Linked DNA regions of Canis lupus familiaris. The protein of the gene in region 2 interacts with the protein of the main gene of each other region in a pairwise test. Links are inferred from orthologs where the notes say so. Each region holds a gene or a part of one and is shown on either strand. Other genes may lie near its edges.

Region 1 (4,217 bases), on a different chromosome or scaffold from region 2:
CCTGGGACTCCAGGATCAAGCCCTGGGCCAAAGGCAGGCACTAAACCGCTGAGCCACCCAGGGACCCCCCTAAATAAGATCTTTTTTAAAAAAAGATAACAAGTGTGTCATTCTGTACGAACTATCAGAAATAGGAGTTTAGGGATGCCCAAGTGGCTCAGTGGTTGAGCGCCTGCCTTTGGCTGGGGCATGATCCTGGATTCCCGGGTTCGAGTCCTGCATGGAGCCTGCTTCTCTGCCTGTGTCTCTGCCTCTCTCTGTCTCTCATGAATAAATAAATAAAATCTTAAAAAAAAATAGGAGTTCAAAAAGACGAGAATGTCGCATAAGTTGGAGCCCCGGGGTGACTGGTGACCGTGCTGGAGCACTTCCTTCTGTTGTTTCCCGTCATCCTCATGGTAAACAGAGTGGTTTATGATGACACCTCACTGGGCTCTTCGACCTCAGGAGCTCAGGGCACCTGACTAGGGACGCATGCACCCAGATACCAGCTCTGGAGACCCCTGGATGTGTGGCCGGCTCGAGGGCCGGTGGAATGCCTCGGCCCCCTGTTGCTGGCCATCTGCCTGGACTGTCTGTGACACAAGGGTGATCCTTGGGCATTTTGTCCTCAGGCATTTGACCAAGCAGTGACCAAGGACACATGCATGGCTGTTGGCTTCTTCCAGCGAGGTGTGGCCAACTTCCAGCTGGAGAGGTGAGCACAGGGATGCCTTGTTTCTTCTCTGACGCCCCTTTCTCTCTGCACAGTCCATTCTTGTACTCCCCCCGTGCTCTCCCTGTGGGTCACCCCCCCTTGCCAACCCTCTCCTGTATAGCCCCGGGGAAGTATGGGCAGGGTACAGTGCTCCTGCTGCAGAAGATGCAGGGCAGAGCCGCATGGTGAGCCTCATCTCTGCCGAGGTTCATGGAGCGCTTTCACGGACATCCCCTCCTCTGCTCCTCACCACATTGTTACTGTAGCAGGGATGGTGTGATCATACTCATTCTGCAGATGTGGACCCCGAAACAGGGCTGCAGGAATGGTGTGTCCCAGGACATGGAGCTGGTTGGGGTCCTCAATGCTCACCAGGGTTCTTTCTCCCGTGGTCCTTCCCAGAGAAGGAACCATTCTGCAGGATAGGCTCATCTTCCCACTCCCTCACCTAGCCCCTGGATGAGCCCCACAGATGGCCCCATGCCAGGCAGGCCGACTCTGGGGGCAGCCTCCTCCTCTCATGGAGCCAGGGGCCTGCCTAGGGGAGGCTGAGGAGCTTCCTTCCAGCAGGTCTGTGCAGAGGGAGGCCCCCAGGGGACATGGGTCCCGAGAAGCAGGAGGGAAATGCTCAGGGCACTCTATGCAGCCACGGTTGGGCAGACAGGGGCCCCAGGAAGGGCAGCGAGCCTTCCAGAAGGCAGAGCTGGATCAGAGCTAGCTTCACCTCACACCCCAGGCCGCCCGGTGCCCTCTGTAACCCCACAGCCATATCTGCATATTGATCCCTTGATACAATGGTAGAGACTTGAATGCCCACCATGTGCTAGGACCTGGGTGGCCACCACGGCCCCTAGCAGGTGTCCTGGAGCTGGGTGAGGGAGGCTGGGACAGGGCTTGGGCCCTTCCCCAATGGCCTCAGAGCCCCGCCCCCTGTTCCCCCACTGCCCACAGGTTCCAGGAGGCCCTGTCTGACTTCCGGCTGGCCCTGGCGCAGCTGAGGGGTAATGCGGCCATCGACTACACGCAGCTGGGCCTGCGCTTCAAGCTGAAGACCTGGGAGGTGAGCTTGCACAGACTTGCACAGGAAGCTGGCCTCCAAAGGTGGTGCCCCACTGCCCCTACGGGCCACGGTCCCACCCCGAGGAAGCTTAGGGACGGAGAGTTGGGAGACTGCCAGAAGGAGGGCCAGGGAGGGTCAGAGAGGCAGCAGGGAGTGGCAGATGGGGTCAGGAAGAAGCATGGCTTGACCATGGGCCCCTGGCAGGGGACAGGCAGGGAGCACCTCCACCTTGGGCTGTCCAGGCGGCTGACGCCAAAGGAGGGGAATGGAGAGGACACCCCCAGCACTCCCAGCAGTGCTGCCTAGGAGCCTTCTCCAGAGGACCTGTGCTTCAATAAACAGATGGCAGAAAGTCCTATCAGGGGGTTCTGCAGGCACCTGGGTTCCCTAGCCTACGGCACCCACCGCCAGAGGGCTGGGCGTGGGCAGTTGGCCTGGCAGTGACCACGCCCCGCAGAATCTCCAGGGTGGCCAGCTGGCCCTGGGAGTGTGCGTTGCTAGGCAGGCCACAGAGACCGCAGCGCGCGGAAGAACCGGTTGGTTCTGTTGACAAAGTCGAGCTGGGCAAGCACCTGCTACCCTCACAGCGGCTGTGGGGGGGTGCGGGTGTCTGCGGGGCCTCCTGGAGCACCAGGCAACTCAGCGTGTCCTGGTGTCCTTCCGGCCACAGCCGGAACCCGACCCTACCTGTCTGTCAGAACGTCTTCTCACGCGGGGGCGGGGGCGGGGGCGGGTGAGGAAGGGGACAGGCCCGAGCGGGGCTCCTGCGACAGCAGCGCGGACTCCTGCACCGGGCAGGACCGCGCGGTCGGTGGCGCAGAAGGGGGCGGAGGCGGACAGGACGCTCCCGGAGCTCCCAACCTACCCCTGATGCTCGGAGCAGAGAACCTACCTCTCCGGCTGCGGGTCTGGAGACCGAGGTCGGCCCGGCAGAGCCCCGCACCTGCTGACAGGCCGGATGCCAGTCCCCGGGCCCGCGGCTCCGCGGCGAGGCGGGCCCCCAGGGAGGCCGCGGGGTCTTTGCCGGGGGAGGGCGGGGCTGGAGGCGGGGCCAGGAGAGGCGGTTGGAGGCGGTGGGCGCGGGAGTGGGGCCAGGGGTGGGTCTGGGGCGGGGCTTGGGCGGGGCTTGGGGCGGGGTCTGGGGTGGAATCAGGGGCGGGGGCGGGGGGCCTGAAGCCGATCCGGGTGAGACCAGGGGGGCAGGAGCAGAAGAGCGAGCGAGGGAGAGGGCTGTGACCTCTCGTCCCCTCCCAGGTGCTCTTCAACGTGGGGGCGGCACAGTGCGCGCTGGGACTGTGGGCTGAGGCCGCTGGCAGCCTAGAGGAAGCCCTCTGCAAGGGGCCAGAGGGGGCCGGGGAAGACCTGCATGCTGCCCTGGCCCAAGTGCAGGTGAGGAGAGCAGGCCAGGCCCCCTTAGGGCACGTCCAGGGCTCCTATCTGTCCCAGCGCCCCCAGACCAACTGTATGAGCTGAAGAAGTCTCTAGAGGGAGGTGCTCCTGTGCCCAGCTGTGGGGGCTGGGGAAGTCTCTCAGGGTGTGAGAAGTGGGTGGGGGGTCCCTGAGGCCACAGCCCTGTCAAATACTCAGGTCTGCATTGGCTGGACCCCCTCCAGAAACAGGCTACCCTGCAGCTGCGGCAGGTCCCCAGGGGTGAGGTCTTTCGGCCTCACAGGCGGCATGTGGAGCACCTGGAACCCGTGGATTTCCTGGGCAAGGCCAAGGTAACCCCGGGTGCTCAGGGGTCAGCAGCAGCCAGGGGGGTGAGCTCAAAGGGTCCTTGTTGTTAGGGAGCCTTCGGTGGGTGGGTGGACAGTAGGCGCAGGGCCATCCCTAGGCCGCAGACATGCCTGAACTTCTGAGTCGGGGGCAGGGTCTCCATGTGGGCTTCAGATCCTGGGTTCTTAGAAGCAGCAGGCAGAACCCAGCAGAAGCTGGCTGCAGAGGGGCACCTAAGTGGTGCTGCCCCCCCAGCCACACCCTTCTGGCCTCAGCACCTCCCTGAGTCTCTGTGTTTCTGTGTCTCCCTGCATCTCTGCCCCAGAGAGTGGGATCGCAGGTAGGGCTGAGGTCAGCTGGCCAGGCAGCGTCACCAGAATCACAGCCCTGGGGGCAGGGGTGGGATACAGGGACCTGTGTACACAAAGGGAAGTTCGCCTGGGTTTCAAGCTGGTGGCCCTGGATTAGCCCCAGCCCCCCGAGGTCACCGCGGGCCAGTGTGCTGTGTGCCACCATGTACATGGCTGGTGAGGCTACATGCCCCACACACCTCGTCTTCATGACCTCTGCTGGCTGGGGCCAGGTGACTCCGAGCTGCATTAATGAATCAATTCAGAGTCTGCTTCTCACAGTACCAGGCATCTGAGAAATAAAGATATTTCAAAACTTGTATAAAAAGGAGGCTGAAACCATCTGCACATGTTGTCCTTCGTCAGACGTGTTCTTCCCACCGTCCTGGCCCCC
Region 2 (3,990 bases):
GGTTGATGGGCAGAGGGCAGCTGAGACAAGGGAAGTGGACACACGTGAAACAGGATCCATTAGAAAGATGGCAGTGTCCTGACCAATCACATCTTAAAGCTAGTTCTGCCAACGTGGGTTGTAAAGCAGGTCTATATTCTCTGTGAACCCAAAGGTACAGACAGGAAAAGAGCCTACCACTCATTTAAAGGCATTCTCACCTCATTTCAGGTATATGGCTTTGAGGCAAGGACCACCTGGGCTCTAATTCTTATAGAGGGGGGAGCTAAGCAGGCAACATAACTAAAATCTCTAGTATCTTTCTAAATGCCACTTAATAGGGGACTATGCTTTCTTCATTTTTTTCAGGATTTTAAAAATTATTATTTTATTTAAATTCAAGTTGCCTACATATAACACACAGTGCTTATCTCATGTGTCTTTCTCCATTTTTACTCATCACGTTTTTCTTTTATCACGTTTCTTAATGGAATGCCATACTGAAGGCAAATTTGAAGTAAATGTTACAGGCTGAATAAGGAGTATTACTAGACCAGTACCAAAGTGGAACTGCAAAAGCAGCAGGCAGGACTCCTAATGCTTTAAAGAGGTATAGGAAAACAAAGGAATCTGGTTAACTCAGGCCCCAGGGAATGTGCCAGATGCTACTGACTTGCCACAGTTCTCCTGCCCCCTCAACTGCTTTCTGCCCAACTACTGGATGTCAGTGCTTATACCCATACCACAGCTATTACCCAGGGATGGTGAAAGGATGAATATGTAATCTCTTCAGAAAGTTAAACTACGTAAGAGCTGAGTTGTTCTGATAAGGTCATACTCACAGGAATGTTGCCAGCAGTAGCCCCCGCTCCAAATCTGGCACCTGCATCATACCCTCCTTCCACCAGCACTGCTGAACCAGGTGGATAGATGGGACCAACTGGATAATAAGCCATGGGGATTGTGGAACCTAAAGGTCCAACAGCCACAGATTGGGCCATGGGAAGATACAGTGAGGCGCCAGGAAATGCAGCTGACATGGTGGGGACCGTGGCAGCCCCCGGATGCACGAAGCTCGGACGATAGAGCTAGAAGAGAAGGCAACAGGTTACTTTATGACATTCCGATTTTAGATCCCTTCTACGCTCAATTCTTAATTGTCCTTGTGCAGATTACACTCTTGAGTTACACAAACTGCCTTTCCACTGCCACTCAGTACCCTCCTGCATCACTTCCTGCCATAGCTAACGTGAGGCTCAAGGAACGCAAGCTCATCTTCTTAACCTCACCCGGTGCCAAAAAAAAAAAAAAAAAAAAAACATGAAACAATCAGATGATGCAGTCTCAACCCCAACAGAAATTGCGCTGAAGTGTACAGTGTTTCAGACTATTCACGTGAGCCCTCCCTTCTCCTATTTACGGACACTGAATAGATATGCGTGGACTCAGGCTTATTAGCTAAGGACTGAAGATGTGACCCAAGAGCACTGGGTTCAAGTCTAGTAAACTGGAAGCACCTCTGAGTAGGCAGGTGGAGCATCAGTATAGGGTGGAGCCTGAGGGAGATGCAAGGTCTGAGGGTACACTGGGTTCCCAGGAGGCTGCACGGGATAGGTTGGCTGCGTTGGATATTGACCTGGAAGACAAGAAAGAAAAAAAGAAAAAAAAAGGAAAGAAAAAGAAAATGCATGTTGCCTACCACACAGAGCCACCAAAATGGGGCAGAGCATCCTGGGTAGCTGCCCTAGGGGCAGCAAGCTGGAGATGTGTAGACAGACCGCTCTGGGTGGTGGGGTGGGGGTGGGGGCTGATTTCTGGGGCCGAGAGAATATTCTCTTCGCACCCTTATCCCTACTCCTACCGGGGCAGTCCTCCCACTGGCACACCCGAGCTTCTCCATCGATGCAGGGCAGGTGTGGGGCCCCGTTCCTGCCCGTGCCCAACGGCAGGGACGCGCTGCCCCGGCTCCGGGTGGTCGCCACAGGCCTGGCTGGACCGAGCCGCGACCTCGTTGGGTCACGGAGGTTGCGGGTTATTTGCCCCGCCGCTTCCTACTCAAGGTCGCCTTCCGAATACAGCGCGCGATGGACGTGAGCCCTCGGGACCCGAGGGAGGATAACGGGAACCGTCCTGAGGCACAGCGGAGGACCGTGTGGGGCCCGACGCCGGCACAGTCCCAGGAGCCGGGGGCACTTCGGGCGGCCGCGCGAGGCACGCGGAGGGAGACCCCTCCGCCGCCCCCGGGCCCCCGGGCCCCGGGGCCCGCCCGCCGGCGCCGCACTGGTTAAGCCCGGGCGCCGGCCTCTGGTTCCGGAGCGCGAAGCCCCGCCCCCGCCGGCGCGCCATTGGCCGACCCGCATCCCTGCTCTAGCTCCCCATTTGCTCCCGCAGATGCCCATCATGACAAGCCTCCCCCCTGCACCCCCCCGCCCCTCCACCCGAGCCCGCAGCTCCAAACTGCGCCACAGAGTTTAAGGAGGAAAGGGCCGGGAAGCAGCGAGCAGCCGCAGTTCGGGGATGACGAAGGCGTCTGGCGCGGCCCCCGGGGCCGCAGCCGGCCGGGGAGGGAGGCGCAGCGCGCCCCAAGCCTCCGCTTGGCGACCCCGGGCTCCGGGCCCGCTCGCTCCAGGCTAGCACTGTCCCCCCGACGGCCCCGGCCGCCCCCTGCCCTTGCCTTTGCTGTTCATGGTGGCTGCGGGTCCGGTTCGGCTCGGCGTCGCGGACGGTTATTTTTTTCGTCCTCTTCCTGTTCGTAGTCACTTCCGTGTCACGTGACGGCCCGTCCGCCTCGCGTCACCCGACGCCCGAGCGCCGCCGCCACCGGAAGCCCCGCCCCTCCCGCGCGGCGTCCAGTAGCTGGAGGGCGGGCGCGCGTGGCCCCGCCCCCCCGGCGCGCGGCGGCCCCGCCCCTTGGGTCTCGCCCTCCCACCCCCACCCGCGTCCCACGACGGGAAGAAAACCGAATGCAGGTATTGTCTCCAAACACGGTTGTTGGCTTTTTTTTTTTTGGTTTTGCCTTTGTTTTTTCCGCCCCCCCCCCTCCTCTCTCTCTCTCTCTCTGGGGCGCTCGGGGGCAGAGCCGCTGAAGCCGCTCCCCGGAACCTGCTTCCACCTCTGCGCAGCAGCTCAAGGTGACCTCACCTGCGGAGCGCGGCGGCCCCGGCCCCGGCCCCGGCCCCTGGACTGCGCGGGCTGGCGGCGCCGTCAGTGGGTCCTGGCCGCCTTGCCCGTCCCGCCGGCAGGTGCCCGCCTGCACTTGCGTCGCTGCCCCTCTGCCCGAGGGAGGCCCCGCGCAGGGCCCGGCCTGCCGCCTCCTGTAGCCTCCCTCTCTCTCCCTTCGTCCCTACCCTCACTGTCCTTAAGGGCAGGGGTGCCACCCTCTAAGGCAGCAGTGCCCCGGGCAACCTTCATTTTAAGATACGCCGCCTCTGCGCAAGTACAGAGATGGAGCTAAACAAGACCTTTTTTTTTTTTTTTAAGATTTTTGTTTATTTGTTAACCAGAGACACAGAGACCCAGGCAGAGGGAGAAGCAGGCTCCATGCAGGGAGCCCAACGTGGGACTCGATTCCAGGACCCTGGGGTCATGCCCTGGGCCGAAGGCGGACGCCCAACCGTTGAGCCACCTGGGCTGCCCCACAAGACATTTTTAAAAAAAATATTTTATTTATTTATTTGAGAGAGAGAGAGTGCACCGGCAGAGGGATGGGCAAAGGAGAGAGAGAAGCAGACTCTCCGCCGAGCAGGGAGCCCCATGCAGGGGCTGCACATCCCAGGACCCCGGGATCATGACCTGAGCCCAATGCAGACGTTTAACCTGCTGAGACACCCAGGCGCCCCCAGCACAAGATGTTCTTTTTTTTTTCTTTTTTTTTTTTTTTTTTTTTTATTTATCCATCAGAGAGAAAGAGGCTCCATGCAGAGAGACCAACGTGGGATTCAATCCCAGGCCTCCAGGATCTCGCCCTGGGCTGAAGGAGCCATCCAGCTGCCCAGAACACAATGTTCTTTT

Evidence for each region.
Region 1: the proteins of DAZAP2 (region 2) and EXD3 interact in binary tests that used the Homo sapiens proteins (3 or more experiments, as listed by UniProt). The two-hybrid records come from large-scale screens. The link is inferred for Canis lupus familiaris from reciprocal best matches to the Homo sapiens genes DAZAP2 and EXD3.

What each region holds. Positions count from the first base shown.
Region 1 is NC_049230.1:48,293,997-48,298,213, reverse strand, and holds the start of EXD3 (exonuclease mut-7 homolog), read right to left. Parts: upstream 2,803-4,217; 5' UTR 2,730-2,802; coding exon of another isoform or gene 2,556-2,729; intron 2,396-2,555; exon of another isoform or gene 2,136-2,395; intron 1,758-2,135; coding exon of another isoform or gene 1,649-1,757; intron 698-1,648; coding exon of another isoform or gene 615-697; intron 1-614. Other genes in the region: NOXA1 (NADPH oxidase activator 1), read left to right, coding at 615-697, 1,649-1,757, 2,556-2,729, 3,012-3,146, 3,345-3,478. UniProt on the Homo sapiens protein: Possesses 3'-5' exoribonuclease activity. Required for 3'-end trimming of AGO1-bound miRNAs.
Region 2 is NC_049248.1:43,029,787-43,033,776, reverse strand, and holds the start of DAZAP2 (DAZ-associated protein 2), read right to left. Parts: upstream 2,808-3,990; 5' UTR 2,667-2,807; coding exon 2,654-2,666; intron 1,616-2,653; coding exon 1,497-1,615; intron 1,068-1,496; coding exon 899-1,067; coding exon of another isoform or gene 822-898; intron 1-821. UniProt on the Homo sapiens protein: In unstressed cells, promotes SIAH1-mediated polyubiquitination and degradation of the serine/threonine-protein kinase HIPK2, probably by acting as a loading factor that potentiates complex formation between HIPK2 and ubiquitin ligase SIAH1.